Linked DNA regions of Schizosaccharomyces pombe. Changing the gene in region 3 together with the main gene of any one other region gives a genetic interaction. Each region holds a gene or a part of one and is shown on either strand. Other genes may lie near its edges.

Region 1 (7,427 bases), 3.4 Mb from region 3:
CCAAAGCCAATTGTCGTACACAATCAACTCTATTACAACAAAGACACAACAGTTTTTGAAATTCGTCGATAGTAGAAGAAGCAACTCTTCTTTCTTTGGACAATGATTCAACGAAAGATGTTAAGTTATATAGGGCAATAGCACGAATAGATTGGGGGAGTTGACTGTCTCTCAAAGATGGATCAAGCAAGTATTCTACAAGCGCAGAAAGCTTATTCGATTTGCAACGCAAAGATTCAAGTAAAAGGACAGCAGACAAGAAGCAAATTTCTGAAGTACTCAAAGGCTTAAGATCAATGTTAGGGACCCTGACTAACAACTCTGATTTAATCTGAGAAATGACTGAATGCTCAATATGAGTCCTGAGGACTGTGTTTAGTTCCAAATTGCTCTCAAAATTGCTACCAAAATCCTCAAAAACAAGAAGGGGAGAATTTTTGGCAATATTTTCAAGGTCAACTTCTAGTGTTTCACCTAAATCAACTGAATAACGGAAACGATTTATGACTAAAGTAAACCACATGTCACGGAACAGTGCAGGATACATTTCTTCCTTGGGCAAACTGCTCCAATCAGTACCTGCAACACACTCGACTAAAGCCTGGACGGCTTTAGACATGCCAAAATAATATCCTTTCAGTTCAGGGGCAGGTGTATCACGAACGATACCTATATGGATAATCTCCTCTAGAAGACTTTTCAACAAATCTGACCTCTTGAAAGAGTTAGATTCCGTACCTCTAGCGATCAAACAGCGGGAATCACAAATAGCAATTGTCAGAGCTTCATCACCGTTCTTCACGAGCATTTTGTTTTGAATAGAATAAAACTGAACCAATATTGAAAAGTCACGATCATTAGCTTTAGTGGATATATCTGCTAGTGTTCTCACTAATTCAGTACTCACCCTCGAGTCGAATTTTCTTGAGAACTTTTGTATCAACAAAGAAATAGCTAATCCATAAATTTTCTCATCGTTAACTGTCAAAGCAATTTCACGAACAGAATCTATAACATTCAAATAGTTTGAAATTGTATTTACCGTTGCAGTTTGTGAAGAAGAACTAGACATATTGTCACTAATAGAAAGGCGTTCTTTTGGAGCTGCAAGATAACTATCAGGAGTGTCAGCAGGAGACAGCAAGTTGGCAAACTGGTATATTGAAGTGATAGCAGTATCTCTTGAGGAATAGTTGAAAAGTTGAGCAAGCTTTCTAGAGGCTAATTGAGCATAAGTCACATTACCATCATCAAAGCGGGGGGCATAAATAGCGATTAAACGCAATCTTTTCATAGCAAACTGAAAATGAGTGGGGAAAACACAGGCCAACGAAGCCATAAGTTCAATTAAATGAGGTAAGAGCTCCGGATCTTCAGATATGGAACCTAACAACACATTAATCCAATCACTATATGTGTATGGAACAAAACCAATGTAGGAGGAGGATAGAAGTGCCAATTTTAGTACGAGTACAAAAAATAAATTGCATGAAGTACCCAACTTCTCTTGAAGTCTCAAGGTCCCAGTTTTTGACAAAAACTTATCACTAAGGTTTAAGATGCTTTGGAATTGCGTTAAAAACGGCTTCTCCTCCGGAGAAGAAGGGCGATGTTTCACAATATCCCAAAATGAGGTAGCATCTTCATACCAAAGGCAACCAGAAGAATTGATGTATGCTTTCATAGATGAAAGGTAAAGGTAATAGCTCAACCCAAACCCAGCATAGTAATTGGAATGGTGAAGAAAAGAATCATTATGAAGGTCTATTAATTTACACGGAAGGTCTGAGACGAGTATCGTGTTACAAACCTCCATTGCCCATAAACACGCGTCTTGCGGCAAAGCTGATATGCAAGCATCGGCTATTTCTTCAAAAAAGAAACCAAGGTGGGAGGCATAAAACACTTTCTCAAAGATTGTCGTTTTAGTATGAGTTGGATTATTATTTGACGAATGAGGAGTATTTAGAATACGAGTTAGTGCCAAAAAAATGCTATTCAAAAACTTCACTATATCGGAAGATAATTCTCTATGCTGCCTGACAAGCGCTAAAAGCGCCTTAAGAATACATGGGCAAATATTCGCAGTCAGTGGTAAAAGATTAGGATAGACAGATTCATCAAGTGAGCATAAAACACTTTTGTACTCCGAGGTATCTTCCAAAAATAGATAATTCAGCAAGTAAAAGCGAAGCTGTTGGAACAAAGTCAAGGCATTTTCAGAGGCTTTGTTTTCCAAAGTAACTTCACAAATTGACAAGACAGTGTCCTCAATTCTTTGGGCCTTAAATAGCTTAGAATCTGCTTCAAGCAATTTTGAGTAACGATTACTTGATTGTACGAACAGATTCCAACCGTGATCGGGAAGGCAGCCAAGTTTTCGTAAAGATTCCCTTCTGATTGATTTATCGATGCTAATAATAATTAGTAGACTGTGCATTCGAAAGGGGAAAAAATAAAACCACTTACCAATCCATAATATTTGGCAGGGGATTACAAGGGTAATGTAAATCTAATCAAAAAGGATTAAAAATAAGTTATAATTTTGATGGGATAGATTCTATCAACCAAATGAAATGAAAGTTACGGAAGAATCTACTAATAACCGCTTTCGGCTTTAGAAGCAGAGAACCAGGTCTAAATGTGAAATCTCCGGCTTGAAATAGTATTTAGATATCCCTTTAATACATTAAATATGAAAATAAGAAAGAGAAAGCTAGTAAAAGTAGAAAATGACTTGAAAGAGCGTGATCTGCTGTTGACTTAGACGAGTGCAATTATGTGGAAGATACTTCCATACGACTTAGTAACTGAAGTTATCGATAGATGGTAAAGCTTCAAAAATGTCAGAAAATAAGGATAAAAATAATATTTTAAAACGCCATATTGAAGAAGATAATAATATTGATAATGGAAAACGCAAAAAACTCGAATTGGGTAAAGACATGGAAGATGTTCATGATATTGCGTCTAAAGAGATGGAAGAACACGAAACAACTCCAATAATATCACAAAACCTATATTTGGACACTGTAAGAGTGATTTTGCTGCATTTTTGTTCTATAATTAACGCTAATTAGATCAATCGTAAATTGTTAGATTTTGATTTTGAAAAGGTTTGCTCCGTTTCCTTGACAAATCTTAGTGTATATGCTTGCTTAGTCTGTGGAAGATATTTCCAGGGTCGTGGACCTTCATCACATGCTTATTTCCATGCACTCACCGAAAATCATCATGTTTTTGTAAATTGCTCAACATTAAAGTTTTATGTCTTGCCGGAATCTTATCAAGTAGAATCCAGCGCTTTACAAGATATTGCCTATGTGATGCGACCTACTTTTACGAAACTAGAAGTCCAAAGACTAGATCACACACCACAGCTCAGTTACGATTTAATGCTCAAACCCTATGTTCCAGGTAAGTATCGTGGGGAATTGTTTTGTTTTCTTTTATAAAGCTTACTATGAAAAAGTGATAGGATTCATTTTATTTAATGGTTTAAGTTCTAACACTTGTAGGTTTTGTTGGCATGAACAATATAAAAAATAACGATTACTTTAATGTGGTGATTCATATGTTGGCCCATGTTAAGCCATTTCGAAATTATTTTTTGCTTAAAAACTTTGATAATTGCCCTCAACTTGTCCAAAGATTGGCAATCCTTATTCGTAAACTTTGGAACCATAAAGCATTCAAGAGCCATGTCTCTCCTCAAGAACTCATTCAGGAGGTTACAGTTCTTTCTCACAAAAAATATTCTATTAATGAACAAAAAGATCCAGTAGAATTCCTTTCCTGGTTTTTAAATACTTTACACAATTGCCTTGGTGGAAAAAAGTCGACCATAGCAAAACCTACTTCTATTGTACATTACAGCTTTCAAGGATTTGTACGTATTGAATCACAGAAAATTCGCCAACATGCTGAAAAGGGAGAGCAAGTTGTGTTTACTGGTGATAGGGTTATACAAACTAACGTCGTCCCTTTTCTTTACCTTACTCTTGATTTACCTCCGAAACCCATATTCCAAGATGAGTTTGAAGGTAATATCATCCCACAAGTAGAATTAAAAGAGATACTTAACAAATATAATGGGGTACATACCCAAGAACTTGCAGGTATGCGACGGCGTTTTCATTTAATGACGGCTCCTCCATACTTTATATTTCACATCAAAAGATTTATGAAAAACAATTACTTTACGGAAAGAAACCAAACTATAGTGACATTTCCTTTGGATGATTTTGATATGAGCCCATTTATTGATGACTCATTTATCCAGTCAAATCCGAAAATCTCTACGAAATACAACCTCGTTGCTAATATTATACATGAGTCCGTGACACATGCTGAAGAAGAATTTCATAACTTCCGAATTCAAATTCGAAACCCCTCTACCAATAAATGGTATCAAATTCAAGACTTATATGTTGAAGAAATCAGTAGCGATATGATTCGTTTAGGCGAAAGTTTTATTCAGCTTTGGGAAAGGTCATCATAGTGTTAATATGTGGAATTTTTGGATTTCTCACAAAATTTCCTCTACGTGAGACAAAATTAAAAAACATTCATTTTATTTATCAAACGTTACCGCTTAGAAAATCTTTATTCTATATAAATTAGATTATCCATTTATATTCCCATTTCGTGAGTAGTCAGCAATTACAATGCTCAAATGAAAGGTTTGTAGTATTCTTTGGTATCAAGACACCAGATTGGTCGAGTAATGTATACGAAACTAGATTTTCATAAAGGTAAATTCGTAAACCGTCATGATTTTAGTTAACAAATTGTTAAGCACCTAAGCTTCGACCTTTTGTAGTTTTCCTTTACTTGAATCACCAACAGGCTCACCAAATAATTCTAAGCGAGAAATCTTAGTAGTTTCTTCTTCTCCGACATTCGAATAAATAAAAATAACGAGAGAATTGACACGTTGAAATTTAACAAAACGAAGGGGAATAATTGTAGGTTGATCGTCTTGTTCGTAAACTATATCCTCAATGACTTGAGTTGGAGTAAATGACTCAGCATCTTCAAAAGAAAGATTGTTGGGCTGATTGATGTACAATTTGATGGTTTTTGGAGCACTCGAAGTTTCTCCCTTAACAGGAGTAATTGCAATAGAATGAACCTTTACCACTTCAAGAAAAGGTATGTATATCATTAATTGCTCGTCAACATCCGACTCTAAAAATGAGGAAGGATTACTGTTAAATGCACTTTTCAAATCGTGATCATCTTGTTGATTTAGACATTCCAATTGGGGATTTTCAATGCAGCCTTGCAAGCTAGCAAAACCCTTGACAGGTGCCGATGACGAAGAAGCAAGAGCGCCAGTTCCTGTGGCTTTTGAGGAAATCAAAGCAACTTTTTCCTTCAAAGCTTGTGGGTTTGCTCCAGTTAGCATATCAATTTGTTTGCCATTTTCAAAGAAAACAAATGTAGGCCTAAAATGTTAGCAAAACCAATGGTACAGTGACGGATTAGGTAAACACATACATTGCTTTGACGCCAAGCCCGGAGGCAATTTGACGTTGCTCGTCTACATTTACTTTAGCAAAAACGAATTTGGGGCTAGCATATTTCGATGCTAATTGTGAAAATAAGGGAGAAATTGCTTTGCAAGGACCACACCAATCGGCATAGCAATCAACTGCAAGATATCCGGACTTAGGGATCGTTGAGATCCAGTGCTGGTACGATCTAATTTCAATAACTGACATATGGTTGAGGTTGAGTTCTATAAACCGTCTGCCAATACCATCTCGTACACCACGACCGTTATTAGTAGTGCGTCTAGCCAACGTCGAAAAACATATTTTTTTATTATTGTTTCCTGGAAACTACCTTTGAGTTTGCTATTTAAACATAGAAGTTGATTAATTGACAGTATTATTTACCGCTCATATTAAACTAGCTGTAATTTTATTTAGACTTAATTTGTTATACATGGTTTAAAAACCGGGTTGTTTTAAGCTGTCAGTTGCTTACTGTAGCATCTGAGTCTATTTCTTAGGTGAAATCGAATGAATTCTTTTTTATTGGCACGAGAATGGGGCCAAGGTAATGCAATTGATTATGTGATATAAGGATTTCAAGTCTCACATTTGTAGAGCCAAATAGCTCTTTTCGAAGGCAACTACTGCAGCATCGTCTTCAACGGTTAGCGCTGAATCCGGATGTGAAAATTAAACGTAGACACGGTGCGGGCATTTTAGGATCCGTAAATGCACTAAGCATTGATAATACAATTCATCAGCTGTATGACCTATATCGTTGATTTATCAAAGCTTTCAATTTTTGGTTAACAATTTCTATTGACAGCATGGTCTCTGGAGGAGCCAACTCGTCTATCAATGTTTGGGACCTACAAAATATTGACCAAAAGGAAGATGAAGATTTAATTTTGGATACCTTAAATGCAGTTCCTGCGTAAGCATTCATTTTCTACCTAGTTTATGACAATTTCAATATATACACTAGTGATCAATAGCTAACTTGCGGTGTTTTAGTCGAACGAGTCATAAGTTTGGAATAACAGATTTGCATTGGTTTCCGTTTGATAATGGTATTTTTACTAGCTCGTCGTTCGATCATACGCTCAAGGTTTGGGATGTTTCTACTTTACAGGTAATAAAAGTAGAAATCGCAAATTAACCAATGTTCTAATATTGGTAGGAAGCTTACACTTTTACTATGGAGGACATGATTTATTCACATGCATGGTCGCCCATTGCATCACATTGTTTAATTGCCAGTACGTTATATTCTTCATTCTTGAGATTGTTCATCTAACGATAGCCGCCTACCGGTCTTCGTCTATTCGGCTTTGTGATATGCAAAGTGGTAGTTATACTCATAGTTTGTCTGGACACACGGGTAATGTCCTTGCGGTGGATTGGTGTCCTAAGAATGAATTCGTGTTAGCGTCCGGCTCTGCAGATGGCACTTGCAGACTTTGGGACATTCGTAAAGTATCATCCAGCTTCGCATGTATGGATCTACATAATAAGTATTTACCCAGTAACCAGACAAATATATCTCATTACGGCACCGTTAATGGATTAGCTTGGACTTCAGATGCTCGATATTTGGCAAGTTGTGGTACCGACGATCGAATAAGAGTATGGAATATGGAAAGTGGAAGAAACACATTGAGAGAATTTGGACCTATTATTCATAACCAGACTACTTCCTTCGCGGTACATCCTTGCATGATCCAACCCTCTATGGATTCAGATGTTTTTGTGTTATTCCCCAACGATGATGGGTCTCTTGCCTTATTGAACTTGTTAGAAGGCTCGTTTGTGCGCCGACTTTCAACCCACAGTTTAAAACGTATTAATTGTGCTGCCTATCGTCCTGACTTTGAACAGTGTTTTACTGGTGATATGAATGGGAACATTTACATGTGGTCTCCTAAA
Region 2 (7,242 bases), on a different chromosome or scaffold from region 3:
CAGCAAATTATAAAAGTAATTGAGACGTTCTTTCAACGAGGCAGAGTTTTCTCCATCTTGCGGTTTTGGAAGGAAAGATCCCAAACCTTCATCGTTCTCTGGTTTATCTACACCTTCAGGTGATTTACCAAAACTCAATTGATCGTTAAGTTGATCTAACAATGCTTGCATTTGAAGAACACTACGTTCAACAGTTCGACTTTTAAACCCCTCGAGACGAGCACGTACAAGCAAAGCCATTGTATAGACAGACCAATTAACAGGATAAACCAAAACGCGCTCTGCGTAAGGCGCCATTTCTTCACGCGTAAGTCCATCATCAGGATTGTTATTCTTTATGATATGGCAAAATGCAAGTAATAGAGATGCGTCCAATGGATCAAGTTTCGAGGGATGATTGGGATCTTCGGATGACAAAATCGGATCAAGTTCTTCAGAAGGAGCCAATGATTTTTGATCTTCTTTAAAGGAGATTTTCTCCAAAAGAGTATCATCATTTAACTCAAATGTTATCGGTTGAGTGCTAGTTGATTTGTTCTGCTCGGTATCTTTGCATCGGTCTCTAGACTTTGCTAAAACAACTAGCTGCGAAGTATCAAACGTTTGGAATTTTGTGCGTCGACCAAGAGCACCAGTTAATTCAAAATGAAAGTCCATTACTTTTGCTGATTCCTTCATCAACTGCAGAGCTAAAGTATCACGACCGTAATAAGATTGTATGAGGCCCATTTCCATAGTAAACCGCCCTTGTAAATCTCGATCTAGTGAAGAAACATGACTACTCACGATATGCATGCCTTCCATTATTTGATTAAACAACTCTGAAACGTGCTCTTTAAGCATTTGTTGGTGCAAAAAATCAAGGCGAGCTTTATACCATATGTGCAAAGGATCTTTGCTATTTGCGTAGTTAAATAAAGTCTGCGAAAGTAAAAGAAATAAAAGTTTTGGTGCAAGTCGATAAGGCCTTTCTCCTTCCACAGTTAAACTTTTTATAATGGCATCCTTTAATGTAGCCTCGTCGCGTAAACGCTGTGGAAGCCATATTTCAGGCTTAATGGGAAGATATGGTCCAGTATAATTATTCTGAATAAAATATTCCAACATCTGTATTGCAGTCTCAGCGAATTGATCACTGCTGACATTTTTCCCTAGCGGCTTTGAATCCCAATATTTGAACAAAAATTTAGGAATGTCAATACTAGGACAGAAAAACTGATCATATTCTTCTGTGCTTTTTAGAGAACCTCCAAAAAGGACCTCTTTATTTTCTATTGCTACCATTGTTTGGCAAAACTGAAAATTTTTGATTCAACAAATATATTTTCAGACAATCAACCTATTAAGCATTTATCCCGTCTAATAGTGGAATTTCTGTATTTAAAACAAAAAGGAAATCAATTCAATTCAGTAGTGAGTAAGGAAAATAGCTATTTTTTAGTTTGCTACTACAGGAATTGAAGATTGGAGTTGGGAACTCTGACTAATGTACCCAGAAATTTATAAAACCCAATTTTCAAGAATAGGTTCAGAAACTCTTCGAATTTACAGAGGTCTAATGATAAAGGATAAAAATGGCATTAATATTCCTTGATTTTGTTTTACCAGTTCAATAATTAAATTTTCAAAAATTTAAATCAGCTAGTACAAATTGTGCACAGATGAGTTACTTAATAAAGTAATCGAAAAGAGCAGTATTTCTCGAGTGATTTATTACTCAAAATAAAAGCAAAATTTATGTGCTATGTTGTAGTTAGTAGCTAGGAAAAACAGCTGCATCTAAGTTCTATCATTAGCTTTAAAATACCACAGATTTAGATTTAAGAGCTTTATAATACAGGTTTCTTCAGTTTGAGATATGTAATTTAAAGAAAAAAATTTATTGCTCATAGAATTTCATTAGGCAGTATTAAAAAGAGAGTCGAGCTCGCCCTTCTTGAATAATGCTTGGAAATCCGAGTTACCACCAACATGCTTTTGGTGAATAAAGATATTGGGTACGGTACGTTGACCGGTCTTCTTCAATAAGTAAGCTAATCAAGGAGGTTAGTATGCTTTTTTTTATACCATCCATTTTATACAGACTCAAGGTCTATTATATTATAGACAGATCTAAACTAGCATCAAGCAAAACAACAGATGCAATAAAAACTTACATTGAATCTCATCACCGTTGTTCATAAGGTCAATCTGGTATACCTGAGCCTTAATTTTCTTATCAGCGATCACCTTTTCAGTAGCATGGCAGTAAGGGCTAAAATTAAGAGTTAATATCACTGCTTAACAAAAAAAATTAAGTAGTCGGTTCTAGGCATATGGAAGTGTAATTTGTTAAAACAAAAATACAAGCGTTCAAACTATGGTAAGCCAGTGTGACAAATACACGCCCTTATGCAACGATTACTTTACTAAGCAAACGTACCAGTAAGACTTGGCAAAAACAACAACATCGTTGTCAGCAACGGCAGAGTCAACCTATACAGAAATGTTAGTACCCTGTAAAAGAACATTTTACCAAAATTCAGCGACATTGTGGTTAATCTCTGATTCTAGCCAAACGGATACGTACAAATGATTCAACACTAGACATGGTTCTAATAACGTAACAAACAAAAACCTTTAAATTTGGTGGTATGTGGTAGGCAGATATGTATTATCAGTTGTGTATTATATATATGTGCATGGTTTTCCATATTGCTAATTCATACGTCAGTGGAGCACGTATCCCTAACGTTAGAAAAGTCTAGTAGACTTATACGTTAGTAAACGGTTCAATAACCGAAAGACTAGCATATGGCAGGGAATATAATGAATTTTATGATTTTTATTATTTTTTTTTTAAAACCGCCTATAATGATTTCGTGCAGAGAATTGTACTAGTTGGATGTTTTCTGTTCTGTATGACTTGTTTATTCTAGCGACTTAGCGTGCTTTGCATTGTTATGAATAATAAGACTAAATGATTGCGATTTCGAATAGATTTCATTTATTTACAAATCTTATGAGCTCTGGCTACAACAATTAATTAATTAACGGATTTAAAGTGCATAGAAAAAAAAAGGCTAACCTATTTTTATAATTGCGTATGTTTAACTTGAATTTTCGTTATCTGTTAAGTAATAACAGTCAATCAATTGAAATAAAAATTGTGAATTGAGACCAAATATACCTTCATCGAAAAACCCTGCTTAAAATCTTTTTATTATCTATTTTAGTTTTCTGTGTCGATTTGTTACGCTAAACCATTTTTAAGCTTCTAATAAAGCAATGATATTACCTTGCTCAAAAACATTTGCTCTTGATCAACTTAAGCTATGTTGCCTACCCATTGACATGAACGTCAACAATTTAGCTAATTAGATAAACTAATGATTTACTATTTTCCTTTTTAGAAAAAAATTCTGGAAAATAGAGCTGTAAATCAATTAGCATTTTAAATACATGATTCGATGTTTCATCTGCTAACTTTAATATACGCAATTAAGTAGATATTTTTGAATAATGACTCTAAGAACGTCTCAGCATTATACAAGCATATCCTTAAAGATTTTATCAGATACTTCCTTTTATATTAAAAAATGAAAGGTTGTGATTCAAACACGTTGCTTATCATTTAAGATCGTTAGGGAGGGCTATAAACAAAAAATTGGAAACTGAGGATACTTTACAACAGCGCTTTGATCCTTCCCAAAGAAAGATTCATAATTTATTTCCTTTAAATAAGTACTTTTTTTAAAAAGCTTAAACTATTTACGACTAAGTCACTAAAATTCGTAACCAGAAAATCATTAAAAAGCTTTATATAGTGAGGGGTAACGATAAGTAAATCCACCATGCTAATCTAAAAAAATGTACTCGCTAGAGATGCAGAGATAGTTTATATTGAGAATATTCAAAAAAATATTATTTTACTGTTTACCATAGCTTTCGAACATATCACAAAAGAGGGAAAAACCAGAGCCTTTTTATTCAGTGTTAACTGTATTTTGAACTAGCAAGGTTTGACGTTACTCTATTGCTCTTCTCCCTTTAATCTTATTTTGTTTGAGCTTGTCTAAAAAAAAAGGTTTCTCCTCTAATACATTAGAAAAATTTAAACGCTATCATGACAACTTGTTCAATATGCAACGAATCAGAAATAAAATATAAATGCCCGAAGTGTTCATTTCCTTAGTATGTGCTTGTAAGCTCAGAACAATGCATTTTGTTTCAATACACATTAACCCATGAACCAATGCTTTATTCTTTTTTTCTGTTTCCTAAAAATACTAATATAGAATTAATAGTTGTTCATTACCTTGCTGGAAAATCCACCAAAGTCAATGTGAGACTGTAAATGACAATAACACAACAACATTCAAAGGAGTTAAAGAACCTTTAAACCCCCCAGAACCTTCTCCTAATGTTATCTACGTTAATGGAAGAATCCCAAGTTTAGCAGAAGAGGCATTGCCAAGTGAAAGTCTTTTGGAATCTATTGTCGAAGATCCTAGCATAAAAAATTTAATTGAAAGTAATGCCGAGCTTTTACATATAATGAAAGAATTAGTGAACCTTGACCGTGAGGAAGAGGGTTCTGTTCCTCTGAAAACCTTAGATGCTATTCAGCAACAGCGGCTACACAATCCATCTTTCGAAAAACTGGCATCCATGATTCTGGAAAAATATTATGCTCAAAAATAATGGGTTTTATCATTGTAACGAACATTTAGAAGATTCAATTCAAATCGCATATCGGTTATTGGAAGTTGAAATATCAAAGGCGATATTTGAACCAAGGCGAATTGTTTACGAAAGCAACACATCCATTTAAAATTTTTAAAAGTAACAGCGTTTACACGATGTTAATACATAGCAAATACTACTTTTTGGTTTAACTATGAACATTAATATTTATTCAATACAATTTCCTCTCCTGAACCCGTTTATTTTAGTTCGATGTTAAGTATATTGTTCTATACCCTCATAATCTCGTAAACCCCATCAATCTGGTAAGCAAAACAGATCCTTCCGTAGCTATAGCAAGATGTGATCCATCTTGGTGCCAGCAAAAGTCAACGATGGGCATACCTAATTGAATAGGAATTGAATTCGAGTCCTTTTCATATGTATTAATGAGCTGTATTAAGCCGTGCTGAGAATGTGCCGTAGCAAAGTAATCCATGTAACGGGGATGTGGGCAAGCACCAAGCAAGGATGGGAACAATGAAATGCCTTGCACGTTGGGCAGTAGATTTTTGGGTCCCAATTTCATAGTGGAATCCGAGATTTCATTGTAATCGTTATTAGCAAAAAGATTCCAACGAAGCCAAGCCCCACTTTTACACATTGCAAGTATACCGCTTCCATCACTTCCGATCCATCGAACGTTAGCTAAAGAGGAAGCAATGCCGCTACTATGACAGGTGTTAACGAGTGGCAGGGTATTCAAAGTCAAAAGCCATGGATTTTTAACCAACTCGGTTTGAGAATTTTCTTCAGCTGATAAATTCAAAGTCCAGTCAAAAATCCTAATATTACCATTCCTTTCTCCAACAATCAATTGATTAGGATTAGATGGGCGAAATTGGACACTAATACCAGGGGAAGACAATGGGTATCCAGCTAAAATAGGCCCTTCATCAGTCAGTCTCCATATAATCAACGTACAATCGTCGCCCACAGATGCTATCACCTGCTCAGCGAGACGATTATCAGCGGAATAGACGTCTGCAATATCGATATCATTCACAAAATTATGATGCCCAGATTTTCCGCCCAACACATGTTGAGTAATAATGGTTTCATTCTTTGTAATTATTAGACGAACTGTATTATCCTGACACACACATGCAAGAAACAAAGAATACACAGGTGAGGAATTCACATTTCCATCGCCATCATGCAAATTCTCAGAATAACTACAGCTAGATGAAAAAGAAAGATGCAAAGTGGGTAACCCAGTTTGAATAGTGAACAACTCTTGTAATGTCAAACCTGTAGATCCGGGCGTCTGTTCTTCTGAAGCACAATAAATAGTGATACCCGTATCATGGCCTGTATAAGGTTAATCATTAGTTTAAAACGTTTAGAGGAATGCTATTTGAAGATAATTGTTTCATTAGCACTGAGGTTTTCTCAAATATTGTAACTTAGGAAAACAGAAAAGAAGAAATGAGTAATACGTAAATTACCATTCGTCGTAACATTCAGATATCTTACATACCTATGGCAAGAAGATTTGAACAGGAAGGAGACTGGGAACACCAAGTCGTTGTATACGGGCGGACATTAAGAGGCAATCTAATAAACAGAAGTTAGAAAGAGACATAAACGAAATAACGCTGAACGTACTGATACTGGTTAGAGGAAAGAGTCATGACGAAAAATAGTTTTCAAAAAAAACGGAAAGAATGAACGCTTTATTGTGCAGACAATAAAAAGATAAAGAAATTAAAAATGCATTTATATATACAAATGGAAAAAGAGAAGTTTCGGCCACGTTTTCTAGTGATATGGTGTTGCAGGTAACTAGTGGGTTACGTGAATTGGATGAAGCTGAAGAAAACGTTCTACCTTACGGAGCCAAAACTACCACCATTAATTTACAAAAAATCAAACGAAAACCTATACAAAGCAGTTTAGATAATGAAACACGATAAATATAACCATTTTAATGCAATTACTAAAATTTGTACTTATACTAAATATCTTTTAATAATTTAACTTATATTCAATTAACAAATAGAGTGTTTACTAAATACATCAAAATAAAACTATATGTAAAAAAACCAACACGATATTCCACTGATTTATTGCAGAACGAAAAGTAATAATTGCGTTCCGTATGAAGTATACAGCGGTTTTATTCTTTCCAACACGTTCCCCAAGCCAATTACATAAACCGTGACACAGGCTTGTGAATAGTGTGGATAAAAACGAATGTAAAGCATTGTAAACGACAAATGGGGTTTTTTATAGCATAATGATCATTTTAGCAGTCACATCTTCTCGTATAAACCAGATTTTGTGGAGGGAGTAAATGCAGTAAATATTGAAAATTTGAAAAAACCTTCGGAAATCTTAGCTTGGGCATTTCATTCTGAGCCGAAATCTTGGCAACTTCAAAAACCCAAGGGCTATGGCTATTCTTGCTTCAAGACTAGTAAAATATAATACAATCGAGTACTATCATGTTGGTGAATGATATTATGTTATTGACTGTAGAGCGTATATAACATGAGAATGTCACTGTACAATAAC
Region 3 (8,249 bases):
TTGCAGGACACTAGGTGGTTGATTTGTTTACAGTTCGTGAACCACCTTTATATAATTATAAAATTTATCCTTTGCCCCAAAATATAATAATGCACAGTTTACAGTATTTTAGTGTGAGTACTCACAATATTAACTTTTTATCATATACCAAACATTTTCTTCCAGAAGGTAATTTCTTCATCAAATTGCTGTTATGGGTAAAAATGGATCACAATTAAAAAATTTGAAATCGAGTATTCGCCAAGCAAACCTTGGTACTCGTCCAAATAATAAAAAGTCGAGAACTAGAAGTACTGAGTCCCATGAAGACCGACAGGCTAAAGTTCAAAAAATTCAATCAGATGTATGTTTTTGTCTTTCCAGCTTATGAGAGCAATAGCTAATTATTTTTAAGTTTAATTTATTTGACAGGCAGTTTACAAAACGGAAATTTGATGTTGGTGGTAGACGTGTAAAGGGAACTGAGGGTAAACCCGGAGTTAGTCGGGGTGTTGGAGAGGAACTTCGAAGGAGAACAATTGGGGCTGAATTGAAAAAGAGGAATCGTTCTGGAGCTATAATCGATCGACGATTTGGTGAGAACAATCCACATTTATCAGTTGAAGAGAAAATGTTAGAACGATTTAGTCGTGAACAACAGCGTCGTAGCAAAAGAGAGCTTTACAATCTAGATGCAGAAGATGTTTTGACTCATGGTAATAGGCCTTTGTCTGATATAGATTCCTTTGAAGAACCTGGATTTGGACTTGATGAAGGAGAGGAGTTAAACGATGAAGTAGTTCGTCGCATGCATTTTGGCGGATTTGAGGATTCTGATGCCGAAAATGAGAAAGAAGGTGAAGGTGCACATAAATCTAAACGTGAAGTGATGTCGGAAATTATTGCCAAGTCCAAGCATTACAAAGCTGAACGTCAAGCAGAGAAAGAAAGATATGAGGACGAAAGAGAAAAACTTGACGAACAGATGGAGGATTTGCAATCCTTTTTGTCGGATTATAAAAAAGCATCTAGGAAGTCCGGCATAAAAACACAACGACCAATAATTTCAGACGGAGATGCACGTTATGATTCATTTGTCCGTGAAATGGTTTTCGACAAACGCGCGCATCCTACTGAGCGTACTAAGACCGAAGAGGAGCTTGCTCAAATTGAAGCTGATCGTTTGCGTGAATTAGAGGACCAAAGAATTTCTAGAATGGAACATTACCAAGAAGATTCTGCTAGTGAAGCTGGTAGCATCGAAGATGAGCAAGCTACTGATAACGTATTTGGGTTTGGAAAAGGTTTAGAACAGGAAAATGAGGAGGAATGGAATGGAATAAATGAGGAAGCTGAAGAATCGGAAGATGAAGAGTCAGTAAATTCGGACACATCTTTTGTAGATGATGAACAGCTAAAAGTGGAGGAACAACCTTTAGTTGGATCGGCTATAAAAAACGAAGGCTCTGAAAAAGCGTCTTTAGCATATACGTACCCGTGTCCTACTTCTCACGTAGAGTTTGTTCAACTTCTTAAAGGCCTGGATTATAAGGATTATCCAACTGTAGTCTCTCGTATACGTACTTTGCATCATGTTAAGCTGCATCCAGATAACAAATCGCGCCTTGAAAATTTTTCTGTTATTTTATTACAACATATACTTCACTTAACTCGTCAACCTATGATTTCAATGGAGTTATTGGAGCATTTGACTGAGCATCTACACTCTTTGGCACAACAGTTTCCCAGTGCTTTAGGAATATCCTTTATTTCAGTTGTTGAAGGGATGCGCAAACGCCTAGCAAAATCTTATGTGTATCCGGAAATTAAGTTTCCTGAAATTTCTGACTTATTGTTTTTCAATCTGACTGGTTCAATCTTCCCAACTTCAGATAAAAAGCATATTGTTGTAAGTCCTGTTATGCTTACAATGGCAGAGTCTTTGTCCCAATCTCCTGCTGATTCTCTATCAGATGTTTGCAAGAAGCTGTATATTGCCAATTTATTCTTGAAGTTTCAAAGTTACAGCCACCGTTATGTTCCTGAAGTTATAACGGCAGTCTCACAGGCACTTTATTTGCTATACCCCAATTTCATATCTATAGTACCAGGAACATTTGCACTTCCTGATTCTTTGAAGGAAAAGCAAAATTTATTCGCCATTCAAGATATATCTCTCGATGAACCTCAAAGGCTAAGCCTATATGAATTAGAAGAGTTACCGACAGGGCTTCTACAGTCTTCCATTTTATTTATAACTTTAAATTTGATAGAAATGGCGATTGACATTTATTTTAAGGAGCAAGCTTTCATTGAAATATTTGTACCCATTATGGACATGTTACAATTGTACTCTTTGAAAAAGGAACTTTTGAGTAAACGTTTATCGGAAAAATTATTATCTACTTTACAGGCTGTTTCCGATTCTATTGAATCAGCTAAAGCAAACCGTAAACCATTGGCTTTACAATCTCATCGTCCTTTAGGAATTACTAGTCAAGTTCCTAAGTTTGAGGAAGGTTATTCTCTTGACAAAAGCTCCCATGATATTGATCCCGAAAGGGCTCAACTCAACAAGTTGCGTGCTCAACACCGCGATGCCAAGAAAGGAGCTATCCGCACTCTCCGCAAGGATGCCAGGTTTATTGCTAGGGAGAGAAGGCAAGAGCAACGTGCTAAGGACCAAGCCTACAATGAGAAAATGCGGAAGTTGGAAAATCGTTTGCAGCATTTTGATCCGGCTGTCTAGAGAAAGTGTGCATTTCTTTAAGTTTTTGAATTTAAATTATAAAGGGTAGTATAGGGATCATTAGGGGAAAATTTATAGGTAATTGATGATTTTAGCTTAATACTTCCAGCCAAAGTCCACTATTACTATTATATCAATAGTAAAAAAACTTATATAATTTTACATACATACCATGCGTAAACTAAGGTGTAGAAAAAGGGAAACAATCATTATTATTGCTCTTCGTGTAAAAATAACTACGAATCAAAAAGCCATGTATCTATAGTAAACAATAATTGATAAGATACTCCTAAAATTATTGGATAAACAAAAGAAAGGAAAGGAGCATACAAAATGCATATGAATACCAAAAAGGGAAAAGGGAATCAGTAACTATTCTAGATTAGTTCTAATCGGTATCTTCCAATTCTTCAAGGTAATGCATAGCCAATAAAGCTGCTTGACAACCACTTCCAGCAGAAGTGATGGCTTGGCGGAAGACCTTATCTTGAACATCACCAGCGGCAAAAAAGCCAGGAATTGAAGTACGAGGAGTTCCATTAATAGTTTTAATGTAACCGGCTTCATCAAGCTCAATTTGTTCAGCTACTAACTTAGTAGCAGGGATATGTCCAATAGCATAAAAGAGTCCGTTAACCTGAAGATCAGAGACTTCATTCGTGTTGGTATTCTTGATACGAAGGTTATTGAGCAACTTGCCATCGCCTTGGGCCTCCTCAGCAACGGTGTTCCACAAAACTTCCACCTTAGGGTTAGCCAAAAGACGCTTGGCCATAATGGGAGAAGCACGAAGCTTGTCACGGCGCACAAGGACATAAACTTTGCTACCATACTTTGTTAAAAACTGGGCCTCTTCGGCAGCAGAGTCACCACCACCAACGACAGCAAGAGGCTTGTTACGATAAATGGGAACGGCACCATCACATACAGCACAAGCAGATATACCTGCTTGCCAATAAGTATCCTCACCAGTAATGTGAAGGCGACGAGCGGAAGCACCAGTAGCCAAAATAACGCTGTCAGCGGTATGAGGCTCTTCCTCTTCAGCACCCTCCAACCAGTACTTGAAAGGGCGAGAAGAAAGATCTAATTTGGAAACAGTCTCGGTAATAATTTCAGTTCCAAAACGCAAAGATTGAGCGCGGAAGTTTTCAGTAAGGGTAGTACCATTGATACCATCGGGAAAACCAGGAAAGTTTTCGACATCGGTGGTAGTAGTAAGCTGACCACCAGCAGCAATACCGTTGGCAAGCATACCTTCGTACATTACGGGCTTAAGCTCACCACGGGCGAGATAGATGGCTGCAGTATGGCCGGCGGGACCAGACCCAATAATAACAACCTTGTTGTGAGTCACTAATGAAGTCAGTAAAATTAAAAAAACAAAACAAAAAAAGATAAACGTTAATGTTGTAAGGCGAGAAGGATAGAAAAGCTGAAAGAACACAAGATAACCATTATCGAACAATGATAAAAAAACAGATGAAACCCAATCTTACACGTGAGTTCGGAAATAAAAAAGTTTCCTACTAATCAACAAAAAAAAAGAAAAAAATTCATCACCGAATTAGTTTTATTTTTAGGTAATAATTTTTTTTTTGTTGGGTTCGACTTCATCGCCGTCACATTTCCTGCACGTTTTTCGTTTCACTTACTATTGATATGAGTATTTGTAGAGAAATATGTTTGTTTTAAAGGGGAATAAATAGATCCTAACTTCAAAGATTTCTTAAAAGAATCGGGTATGCCTTTATAGAAGCTAAATTTCTGATAAGGAAAGAATGTCCTGAAGTATCGAAGGAATGCGATATGGTGGTAGTGGGTAAATTGATTCTTATATAGAGCCCTGGGAAATGGTGTGCTTACTAGCGATGAATAATGAGACTCGTTCGAGACATTCGTAAAAGTGCGAACGCTTAGATTAACAGTGGCAGAACGAGACACCGATATCGCGTAAGCAAATTTAATGCCAACATGGTAGAAGAGGGTATAGGAATGTCGAGAATTAGTGAGGCCACGATAAATGGACGAACCACCAAAGCCATGAGTAAGCGACGCTTTGTACATGAAAGACGACTGACCTATGCTAGTACAATAGAAAGAACTCGACAAGAAAAATCCACGTTTTTGTTAGTTAAGAGTTTAAGCCTCCACAATCCAAACAAATTGTCAAAGAGACGCGCAGAAAGCAAAATTCTCAATGTAGCCGTGCTGGGCTACTTGCCTTACTAAGGTTTTAACCAAAAACAAGTATGATTCAAGTGCGATTGGTGTAGCCTAGAAAAAACAATTGCGAAAAGTAATTTCAAGGAAACAAATTTTAGTCGTTTACAACCCAAAAAAGAAAAATTTGCTGTTCCTGCGATCAACACTGCTTAATAATTTATTTATTAAGGTTACCAACGAGGAAAAATGTTTTACGCTGAATATTGTGATTTGATAAAAGGTATAACGATAGAATTTATAAATAATAAATTGGTTTAACGTTCAACGAAGAAAGTACGAAAATTGGGTTTTGGCTGCTATCAACATTATCGAGCTTTAAGGTAGCACGCAGCATTGCTTTACAATAGGCCAGTTTTAGATGTGAACGGTACGAGGTCGGGAGGTCATCGTTTTCTTGTAATGGTACTCGAGATGTTACTCACTTAATTTTTCTGTTTTCTAAGTGCGTACTACATATTGTACTAATAGAGTTTCAATCGGCTACTATCCTCTAACCCATGTTCCATATTCAACAGCTGCTCTCTTTCTCGCTAATCATGGTTAGTGTATTGCATCTAGCCTACACCCCAAAAACACAGGTAGCAAATAAGCTCACTCATTTCTCGATATGGTGTAACGTCGAATACCTGGCAAGAACCAGACAATCGTTTATTCTTGTATTTTTTTAATGCCGATGAATTCCGTGTTAGTTATTGGAAGTGGATTTTTAGGAGGTCATATCATACGGCAGCTGTGCGAACGTGAAAATCTTCGAATTGCTGCATTTGATCTCTTTGAAAATGAAAAGTTGCTACACGAGCTTCATGGTCAATTCACCATGTATACGGGTGATTTAACGAAACAAGGTGATATTGAGCGTGTTTTTGAGGAATTTCATCCACGCGTAGTTATTCACACTGCTTCACCTGTGCATAACCTTGCTCGTGATATTTACTTTGAAGTGAACGTAGATGGCACAGCGAATATCATCAAAGCATGCCAGAAATTTAATGTTGATGCCCTTGTTTATACTAGTTCCGCAGGTGTAGTTTTCAATGGTGCTGACCTTATCAATGTGGATGAGTCCCAGCCCATCCCAGAAGTTCATATGGATGCCTATAACGAGTCCAAAGCTTTGGCAGAAAAACAAGTCTTGGAGGCAAGTTCTGAATCTTTAAAAACTGCTGCCCTTAGAGTTGCTGGTTTATTTGGTCCAGGTGATCGCCAACTCGTCCCTGGTATGCTTTCTGTTTTAAAGAATGGACAAACCAAATTTCAATTGGGTGATAATTTGAATCTTTTTGATTTTACCTACATCGAAAACGCTGCCTATGCTCATCTTCTGGCTATGGACAATTTACTTTCTAGTAATCCTACTGCCAATGGCCAAGTCTTTTTCATTACCAATGGACAGGTTATTTACTTTTGGGACTTTGCACGTGCTATTTGGGCACATGCAGGACACGTTCCCCCTTATATCATCAAATTCCCTAGACCGGTGGGTATGCTCTTAGCCACTGCTGCTGAATGGGTTTGTTATTTCTTGAAAAAGGAACCTGGCTTTACACGTTTCCGTGTCCAATTTAGTTGTGCTAACCGTTACTTTAACATTCAAAAGGCAGAAGATGTTTTGAAGTACCATCCCATTGTGGATTTGGAGGAAGGAATTCGTCGTACTTTGGCTTGGATGGATACTGAGAAAAAACATTAAATTGAGCCATTGGCCTTGTTATTCTTTAAAAGAATATTTAATTTTTAAATTCTAACGCTTCGTAGTCTTTTTTCATTTCTACATAGTTCACTTTCTTCTCGATGAGTTCTACCTCTTGAGCATGTCGATACGAAACAGTTTTTTTCCGCTTTGGAAATTGTTAATGACTTATATCATCATTTCATTTGATAGATGATTGCTCAGATCTTAAAAAAGGAAAAAAAAATATTTGGGTATCTTGGAATATAGACAAGATCGAATAACATCAATATAACGTTCTCTTTGTACTTTCTACTCGTTGTGCTTGAGACGAGAAGGATACAGCTCGTTTGCTTTTGTTATCTTTCTTTGAACTATACGAAGATTGTCCGGTATCACTTGTGTTTAGAAAACAATGGTTATTTCCTTTACATAATGATTGCCTTGTAAGTTTTTCTCATCTGAGATGTATTGATGTATTATAAGTTTCGAGTCATTTTATTTCGTAGATAAATGAATAGACACACTTCATAGAAACTGCTTTTATTACGCTTGTAAGTTTTTGAGATTTCTAATGTAAAACATTGTGTAAATTCTGTATTTATTTTTTAATATGTATGCTGCGTTGCAAAGTTTGCATTTATAAAGCCATTAATTTGTTGTTCTAAAAATATCATTTTGATCTTTGAGAATCCTAAATATCTGTTTCTTTGTAGCCCAATACTACCAATTATTAAGCTGCATTGTTCGGACAGATAAAAACTTTTTTAGCTACTATCAACCACCAAACAAAAACTCACAAGGGCTTGAATTTGTACTTTTTGCTCAATAAAATGGCTAAAGAAGCATTGGAATTAAAAAATGAAGCCAACAAGTTTCTAAAAGAGGGACATATCGTTCAAGCTATAGATTTGTATACAAAAGCCATTGAGCTTGATTCTACAAACGCAATTCTTTACTCCAATAGATCTCTTGCACATTTAAAGTCAGAGGATTATGGTCTGGCAATCAATGATGCTTCCAAAGCTATTGAATGCGACCCCGAATATGCAAAGGCATATTTTCGTCGAGCTACTGCTCATATTGCTATTTTTCAACCCAAAGAGGCTGTCGGTGACTTCCGAAAGGCATTGGCACTAGCACCCAGTGATCCAGCTGCTCGTAAAAAGCTTCGTGAATGTGAGCAATTGGTCAAAAGGATTCGTTTTCAGGAGGCTATTCATAATACTGAACCTCCTTCACCACTTGCGAATATCAACATTGAAGACATGGACATTCCTTCTGACTATGATGGTGTAATATTAGAAAAGCAAATAACGAAAGAGTTTGTTGAAGACATGAAGGAACGCTTTTGCCAAGGTAAAAAACTCCCCCTAAAATTTGCATATAGCATATTGCGAGACTTAAAAGAATTACTTGAAAAAACTCCTTCTTTAATTGACATTCCTGTTAAAGGGGATGAGACATTGGTTATCTGCGGTGACACCCATGGCCAGTATTTTGACTTGTTAAACATTTTCAAACTTCATGGTCCTCCAAGCCCTACTAACAAATATTTATTCAATGGTGACTTTGTCGATCGTGGTTCGTGGTCCACTGAAGTCGCTTTTACTCTTTATGCATATA
Region 4 (8,289 bases), on a different chromosome or scaffold from region 3:
AGCGACAACCCTTGGTAGGCGGTAACAATTTGATTAGGATAACTAATATAAAGAAGGATTGTTTTATGGTTGTATTAAAATATAAACGCTGAAATTAGTACTAAGTGCAGATACCAGTGCTTAAGACGCTGATTTAGTATTTGTGTTTGCCTGATTTATACATGATTTCGTTAATCAGCGTTAAGTCAGCGTCATACTGGAAGTCAGCTCAATGGAAATACTTACATTAAACATTACTATATTATACAAAGAGGAGTAAATAAATTTTGGATAGTAAAATTAAATTTAAAAAATCTCAACAGGTGATAAGAAACTGCAATGCTTGTAGCGACAAATTATGGTAATGTGCTCAGCTTTTGTATTATTGACAAAAAGTATACAGTAATAAATACACCCATAACCCTCAAACTATTGTTTACTATCAAAAGAATCTAACAGGAAAAGCTATTAAAAGTTTTTTAAGAGAAACAAGTAAAACGAGGTAAGTACAGAAAAAGGCTTTATACGCACTCAATCGTATTGAAGCAAAGTTGGAACCCTTCTGCGATCTGAAACTTGCAATGAAGTAAAGGAAAAAAGCCATACTGTCGAGACGATGTGTATAATGTCTTAAAGAATAAAACTCCGTAAAATATTAGAATATTGACGTCGGATATGTCCCCTCGGTTAACAAAACTTTAAACTTCATGAATTTAGGAATATTGCGGGGAGGGAATACATTAATAATTCAAACAATAGGAGAAAGAAATCTTTGACGGCACACTCAAGAATAAGTCATGGACTACGGACTAAAATTATCAAATTTCTCAGTAACTTAAGTTGTTTTTTCGTTCCATCATCTTACGAAGTAGATTGGTTTAAGTATAAATAGATCGATTAGATCTAGTGTCATTTAGATTTGTTTTCCAGTATTTCAAGGTATATCTTATTGCCAAATTTTACTCAAATTTTGTTAAAATTGAAGAAAAATTGGACATTTCAATTGAATGCTACTGGGCATATCCAATTTACGATTTCCCTAAGGTTCTGTAAGATCATAAAACACTTTTCTTTTGCAAACCTTCATAATTTCTATTCACTCATCTCTGGAATCATTAATTATACTCTCCCTACTAGAATCTTGTATTTGTAAGTTTGCTATTGGTTTGGCTATGTTGAGTGAAGTGCCTGCCCTTAAAATTGGGATACTTAAAATAAATTGGAAGTAACATCAGCTAAAATATTTTTTTACCTTTTATGAAGTAATAAAGTCATCGGAAATGCTTGACTATGCACATGAGAACATTGCCATAGATGATTGCTGGAAGACGAAGGAGCGTCAAGCCATCACTAATTAACTAATGGTGAATCCTGATAAAACCTCAAGAGTGGTGTGTTTTCATGGCTCAGGAAGTCCATAATTAAGTTTCAAGTTGATATTTTTCCAGTACTGTAAATATACTTGCTGTGGCTATGTAGGATCCCTCGATCATGATAAACAAGACGCTCACGTCTGCAAATTGGGTTGTCAATTATTTTACGGAGAATCTTGCTACAAAGAAGTTAGTGTCAAAAACTCTTTAATTAATTTCGGCAAAATCAAAGATGTCAAATGCCCTCAACGGAACTAGTCGTCCCATTTTTTTACTCTCAGTGCCTGCAATTGAGGTAGCACAATTACAAACTCTTGGAGAAATGTCGTTAAAATTTTTAATAAAATTAATTGTAAAGATGACTGATTGCCCACGTCAAAGCTTCAGCTGTAGTGAATTAATTACAGTTTTACCTACTGTTCAGAAATTGACATTTTAGCAACGGCTGTTCTTTAAGGACAAAAAGCTACCTCTTCTGATATTCTTGAAGTTATAAAATGGTATAAACTGCCACCAAATTCACTATGTCGGCTTTCTATGATAATTCCTCTAATTCTTCACAATGATGTTACAAATACGCCTCAAGAAGATTTCTATCATCATCAGCAAAGACGTTATATCTATAAGCCAAGACTGAATTTAAAACTATTTATGAATGCATATAGCGCTAATGATGTCGATGGAGACACTCGAGTTCTCCCAATGTTTTTTAAATAATGACAGGGTTGTTTCGAGTATGATTATTACGAGTAGTTCATGTTAATAGTTATTCGAAAATTTCATTGATAAACCGGCCAAACCTCAACTGGCTTTGAATACTAGAGACTAAAGGAATAATAACACCATGAGTGACAAATTTATTCAATATAATATTTCGGCTTGTTTTACAAAGATACAAATACTGCAAAAAACATAAATCTAATGCACATGACAACTGGCTTTAAAAGTGCTAATTTACTGTTGCTAGCTACATAAGTAATCGAATATCGTGTGTGGCTCATGAATTTGCTTTTAAGCTTTCCTAATTGATTACAAAATTTTAATCTTCCTTTCCTCATCTGGTACAGATATTAAGAAATTTACGGCAGAAGACTTGGAAAACACAATAAGCCTTAGACCTTATTTATATGTTAACCTAATATGTCAAGATTGTTTGCTTTCTTATCAATGTTATGTGCTTATTGAGGTTAAAATATATATTTCCTAATTAACATTTATCAAATTAAATAAATTTCTAACGGCATTACACATGTCTCGCATTCAAAGAATAAAATAGTAGTCATCCGATAAACCTAGCTGACTCAAATTTTTTACAAACTAATTTCGCATAAGCGCATTATGAGCTTCCTTGGAACATATGGGGTTCGCCCTTGTTAATTGGCTTGGGGGCTTTTTCTTCCATCTTCTTCACTTCAGCTTCAGTAGCCTCACGAATACGGCGACCAAGCTCTGAATCAACACGAGTAAATACACCGTATTGGCGTTCACGTACAGGAGATATAGCACCAGACAAGTGACCGGCAACGTTCTTAACAAAGTTATCTTGCTGTCCAGGTTTCTTGCCCAAAACATTTTGCCAAAACGCTCTAGGTTGCTCAAAATCAACGTCGGTAATTTCGTCCATATGGTAAGTAACTTGACCTACCCACTTTTCGTGACCTTCGTCAGGCTCATATTGAACTTTAGCAAGTGGTCGGATTGAGGATGGATAGTTTGGCCAATTTCCTTGGTTTCCATTGACATTCATAGGGCCGTCACGAGAATAGTTAAAGACAGGACACTTAGGAGAATTGACGGGAATTTGCTCGAAATTAGCACCCAAACGATGGCGGTGGGTATCAGGATAGGAAAATGTACGTACTTGCAAAACAGGATCCGCTGAGACTTCAATACCAGGAACCATATGAGAAGGAGAGAACCCAGCCTGCTCGATATCTGCAAAGAAATTGGTAGGATTCTGATTCAAGGTAAAGCGTCCAACCCTTTGCATTGGTACGTCCTTATGAGGCCAGACCTTAGTAAGATCGAAAATGTTGTAGCGATATTTTTCAGCCTCCTGAGGGGTCATAACTTGAACGTAAAGCGTCCAACTGGGGTAATCACCACGTTCAATAGCTTCGAAAAGATCTTGACGAGCATGGTCGGGATTGGATCCATCCAATGCAGCGGCTTCTTCATTTGTTAAACCCTTGGTTCCTTGATTAGTAATGAAATGCCATTTGCAATAGTAGAATTCACCCTTATCATTAACAAATTTGTAGGTATGACTGGAAAAGCCATCCATGAAACGGTAGCTATAAGGGGTACCACCCAAGTCAGAGAAAAGAATCATAACTTGATGGATGGACTCTGCGTTTTGAGAAAGGTAATCCCAAAACATAGTAGCATCCTTCATATCATTTTGAGGGTTACGCTTCTGAGTATGGATGAAGAGAGGGAATTTAGCGGGATCACGAAGGAAGAAGACAGGGGTATTGTTTCCAACCATATCGAAAATACCTTCATCGGTGTAGAACTTTAATGCGAACCCACGAGGATCACGAGCAGTATCAGGAGTACCCCTTTCACCACCGACGGTGGAGAAACGAGCAACCATAGGGGTTTTCTTACCAACCTTAGAAAACATGGTATGTTTGGTATACTTGGTAATGTCGTCGGTGCATTCGAATTCACCAAAAGCACCGGAACCCTTTGCATGGACGACACGTTCAGGAATACGCTCGCGATCAAAGTGTTGAAAGACGTCGATTAAATGGGAATCTTGAAGTAAGACAGGACCTCCCTTACCCACACGAGCCGCAGCCATAGGGTTAAAAATGGGACAACCGGTGTTGGTGGTGTAAACAGGGACGGTATTTGAGTCTTTCGAGTTCATTTCGCTGATGTTTGAATCCTTAGACTGAGAAGATGCAAATCTGTTAAAGAGTAGCTTATTATTGTTAATCTTGGAATTAGTTGAACGACGAGCAAATGATTTTAAACTAGCTTGTCTACCAAGACAGTAACGTTCAAAGATGCGAAAAGCCGACACTTTGAAGAGTTAGGAGGGGAAAAAAAAAGACAGTCAAAAAATTGTGTTTTTTTAAAAAATTAGTGTCGAGTCTTTAACTAAATCACTCAAGACACAACCACAATTTCTATAATTCGATATTCGAACAAGGGAATTACAATCACACACACACAAAGAAGAACTTATAGTATTCTTCTATTCAAAAGCTATTACTTTTACGTGAAAAGCTGTATATTCAAGCAACTTGCAATTGCCTCTATATATATTGTCTGGTGTAGAATTACCAACGTCATATTTGCACAATAGGAAAACTCTTACCAACGCAAATGGCCGAGATTCCATTGGCTTAGTGAGCCAAAGAGCATCATTATTAGCGAAGCTACAATGACAAATTAACTTCTTCTACAGCCTATCGTAGTCGCCAAAATCCACCCTTCAGCCAATGTTTACGATGCGCTCATACCGTTACTTGGCCATATCAAATCTCCCAACACCATCGCTAACGTAAGCGGGCAAATCCCATCGTTAGCGATTAGTAAAACCAGCGTTTCTAGACACAGACGCTGACATGAAATTCTACTGCAAGTCGATATAGAGGAGAAAGATGCTTAATAAAATTAAAAGCTAGACTTTTCAGTCGCAAACTTGTGCTGGACATGCACCCTTTGGAACCAGTGTTTTTGGTAGATTAGCAGAGTATAGTGTGTTTCCTGGGGAAGTAAATAAAACAGATGTATGGTAAAATAGGATATGCAAGCATGTAGATTTTGGCCTGTATTCATGCGGTTTGTTTAGCTTGAAGAATTGATTTCACAAAAGTATGGTTTAATTTCAAATGATGTCGGGTTGATGTGCTAAGATCGGGAAATGGGTGAGTGAGAAAAGGAAGTTATGGTAATTTTATGATCGATTAGTTTGGAAACGTGTTTTATGGGCGCATTGTATATTTCTTAAATTATAAATTTTTTCTATTCTATATTAACTGAACTGAGAAAGTGGATTCATTGTGCACAGCTTCCCGTAGAGGTATAATGTGCACAAATCGGAAGTATGACTAGGAGAGTGAAATAGATAAGGAGGTTACTGAAATTAGAATACTTTCGTCCAATATACTTAGGAGTGCAAGTCTAAGGTCGAAGAAAGGCTGGAAGTGAAACAAGTCCCTTGCTTACAAAAAAAAAAAAATGGGAGATGCAAACAATCTAAGGACCGACAAACCGTAGGTATGGACGGCGTGTAAAGGCAATCCGTAGGAATGTGTGAAATAGAATATGATACGTTTAATAAAAGTCCTTCTTTTCCTCTACATCACAAATTTCAAGCAAAACGAAGTAATAATAATAAGGAATTTTTTCTTTCGTTGGTCTGACTAATTTTTTAGGTTCGATATAAACACTACGATTTCCATGCATGTTTTAATTCAGCGGATGAAGATATAACCCATACGTTGTTGTTTCCCATCGCTCACTCTACATTCGCTTAAATAAACTACTACCATTTGACTCGTCAAACAAAGATTGAAGGTGGTATTCACAAGCTTGTTTTATGTTGAATTCAATTTTTAGTTGGTAAAAGTACTTTAAGCATAAATGCCATTAACTGCTGTTCATGAAAGAGGGGACGTTATAGGTGGCAGAATTAAATTTCACTATATAGAGAACTATAGTGTTTTTTGGTCATCATCAGTAAGTGCAGAAACAGCATCAACTTAGTAAACAAAATAGTTACTTAGATTTCGCTTTATTCTTTATTTCCCTCTCCAAGACTTCACAAAGTCCTCGAAAATTCACGATGCTGATAGCTTCAGCTTTTCAGCACCATTTTTTCTTACTTGAGGGCGAGTTGATTAAATTCATCCTCTGCAAATCCTTCTTCTTTTATCTTTTCTCTCTAGAACGTTTGAAAAATTAGTTACACACGTCCAATTCCCTTAGTTGGAATTCATACCTGTTGAAACTCTTGCAATGCTGCTAAACGCCGTTGCCTATGAGAATAATAAGATTGGCCAAGAAGAACAGTGCCTCCAACAGTGCCGAAAATTAGAATCGATACCGATCCCTTTTGTACAATGTCGTAAATTCGATTTCTGTTCATAACACTGACCTAGTAGTTGTTAGTAGTCGTGTTTGTCAGTTTACCACATTACACAGCCTAATCGCTTCAGTAAACTTACTGAGTTTTCTTTATAATTTAATATGTTGTTAATGATTATTAGCACTGATGGAATGTGCTCTTAAAAGGTCACCTTTAGTGGCAAAGCTCTTTACAGTTGGGTTTTGTAGAAATGAGGCCTTCCCATATTCTACCGGCTTTCCGAGCTGTACCATGACGTTCTTTAAAATGATTAACAGGAGGTTTGAAAGTAGTGCTAAATTACGTTAAAACTCAACATGATTAATTCATTCGTCTAGTCATCACTGCTCGGCTCACTAATATCGTTGGTAAGTAATAAAGCGATAAAGGGATCGAATTATTATTTTAAAAAGTATTCCGGTGGGTGATACTATTCATTCATTATTAGAAATAAATCGCAAGCGTTTGTTGTAAATGAAGGTGTCTCAGTTATTTCCTGGATAATAAAAGTTGAATCTCAAATTTTTTTCATCTCAATACTTAAAAAATAAATCTTGTTACTGAGTGTCATAGTCGCTACATAGGATTCATAAACTGCAACTTTTATTTATCTTTTTCTAAGCACATTAGCTTTAAACGGATCCGTCTGCCGCCTTGAGTAAATCAGCCAAAGATTTATAAAGCCAAATTATTTGGCCTTAATCAATGTATCGAGTCAAGTCTAGATGTAGCCTGTTCAGTAACGAATTTGACCCCATTTTTCCAAGAGAAAAAAACGGCCGGCATTTACAGAGTACAACATATGAGGTACCAAAGAAGAAATGTAAAGTTTAAATGAAATAATTCAATGATGAAAATGATCCAATATGACGAAAAAAAGTTTCTATACTATTGAAATTGAAGAAAAGAAAGCAGGCAAATTTTACGTGTTGAAGTATGTATACGTCTACCTTTATAGAGGATTACACAAACGTTTACTTTGGATTTCATTTTCAATTATTTTCAATTTTCTTGATCATTTTTGGTCACTTTTGTCAATTCTGAAATACGTTTGCTCTTCATATACTTATTGTTGATGTACTAAGTAGCTGAGCATTTCGGTAAGTCAAGCAAGAGCAAAACTGAAATTGACGAAATAAAAACTGTCTCTTATTAGTAGGAATAGAAATAGAAATAAATGACTCACAAAGCCTTAAGAAAATTTGTTTTAAAATCTTATGAACTATTAAATTTCAAAGGTTTTGTTTATTTTCATAATCGTCGATTGGTGTTCCTGGTATCGATATTAAAACAGCAACTAGTTCCTTTTCATATCACGGTCTAGCTAATTCTCGAATTGCTTCTTTTTGAATGTTCTTCTAGGATTTACTCTTGCTTGTGGTAAGATTGCAACAAATGACAATGAGCAGTAGTAAATATAGTACAGTGCAGATATTGCTTTTCAAATTAAAATTTAGGTGAACCTCAAACATGATTTCATTTATGGCATGAAATTGATGGTTACATTTCATACAATTATCAGAGATATTAAAGTAACACTAAGCAGTTCATTTCGGTAAGTTTTCGATCATCTTTATTATCAAGATAACCGAAACAACCTTAGTAGCTGCGTCAATACACTCACTACTCAGTGACAAAACAAAATTTTTAGGAAAATTAAGCCTTTGTCGTTTCTTCCTCCAAAGTCATTTTCATGTTTACTATTTCCACATTGCCAAAATTGTTAGTAACCTCTATTACGTGGTTATAAAAAAGAATTAAAATATATCCAAGCCGACTTAGCAAGGATATGTCTTTTCATAAACTCACATACGGTTTTCAACCCGATCGTTTAACATCACGATTCTAACCCTA

The links.
Region 1: of trr1 (region 3) and txl1, changing one enhances a phenotype caused by changing the other (phenotypic enhancement), as found in Schizosaccharomyces pombe (one study listed by BioGRID).
Region 2: mutations in trr1 (region 3) and grx1 are lethal when combined (synthetic lethality), as found in Schizosaccharomyces pombe (one study listed by BioGRID).
Region 4: mutations in trr1 (region 3) and ctt1 are lethal when combined (synthetic lethality), as found in Schizosaccharomyces pombe (one study listed by BioGRID).

The regions. Positions count from the first base shown.
Region 1 is NC_003423.3:761,753-769,179, forward strand, and holds txl1 (thioredoxin-1-like protein Txl1), read right to left. Parts: upstream 5,739-7,427; 5' UTR 5,727-5,738; coding exon 5,503-5,726; intron 5,451-5,502; coding exon 4,802-5,450; 3' UTR 4,600-4,801; downstream 1-4,599. Other genes in the region: 1-phosphatidylinositol 4-kinase Stt4, read right to left, coding at 1-2,414, 2,470-2,477; ubiquitin C-terminal hydrolase Ubp10, read left to right, coding at 2,844-3,032, 3,081-3,417, 3,519-4,501; DNA repair ERCC8 family protein ckn1, read left to right, coding at 6,030-6,066, 6,117-6,264, 6,328-6,435, 6,516-6,633, 6,682-6,760, 6,805-7,427. UniProt on the Schizosaccharomyces pombe protein: Has a role in cellular detoxification of alkyl hydroperoxide.
Region 2 is NC_003424.3:4,869,617-4,876,858, reverse strand, and holds grx1 (glutaredoxin Grx1), read right to left. Parts: upstream 2,641-7,242; 5' UTR 2,591-2,640; coding exon 2,570-2,590; exon of another isoform or gene 2,476-2,569; coding exon 2,423-2,475; exon of another isoform or gene 2,255-2,422; coding exon 2,157-2,254; exon of another isoform or gene 2,089-2,156; intron 2,034-2,088; coding exon 1,900-2,033; 3' UTR 1,808-1,899; downstream 1-1,807. Other genes in the region: ceo5 (TTC27 family TPR repeat-containing protein), read right to left, coding at 1-1,284; hit1 (HIT zinc finger domain-containing protein), read left to right, coding at 4,106-4,173, 4,287-4,683; nup37 (nucleoporin), read right to left, coding at 4,964-6,036, 6,206-6,282, 6,334-6,359.
Region 3 is NC_003423.3:4,186,102-4,194,350, reverse strand, and holds trr1 (thioredoxin reductase Trr1), read right to left. Parts: upstream 4,553-8,249; 5' UTR 4,385-4,552; coding exon 4,384-4,384; exon of another isoform or gene 4,085-4,383; coding exon 3,117-4,084; 3' UTR 2,903-3,116; downstream 1-2,902. Other genes in the region: U3 snoRNP protein Nop14, read left to right, coding at 194-343, 395-2,728; erg26 (3 beta-hydroxysteroid dehydrogenase/delta 5-to-4-isomerase), read left to right, coding at 5,622-6,644; SPOM_SPBC3F6.01C (serine/threonine protein phosphatase), read left to right, coding at 7,457-8,249.
Region 4 is NC_003421.2:54,239-62,527, forward strand, and holds ctt1 (catalase), read right to left. Parts: upstream 4,596-8,289; 5' UTR 4,228-4,595; coding exon 2,689-4,227; 3' UTR 2,416-2,688; downstream 1-2,415. Other genes in the region: SPOM_SPCC757.06 (uncharacterized protein), read left to right, coding at 1,341-1,370, 1,428-1,541, 1,585-1,791; cytochrome c oxidase assembly protein Cox14, read right to left, coding at 6,190-6,252, 6,310-6,456. UniProt on the Schizosaccharomyces pombe protein: Catalyzes the degradation of hydrogen peroxide (H(2)O(2)) generated by peroxisomal oxidases to water and oxygen, thereby protecting cells from the toxic effects of hydrogen peroxide.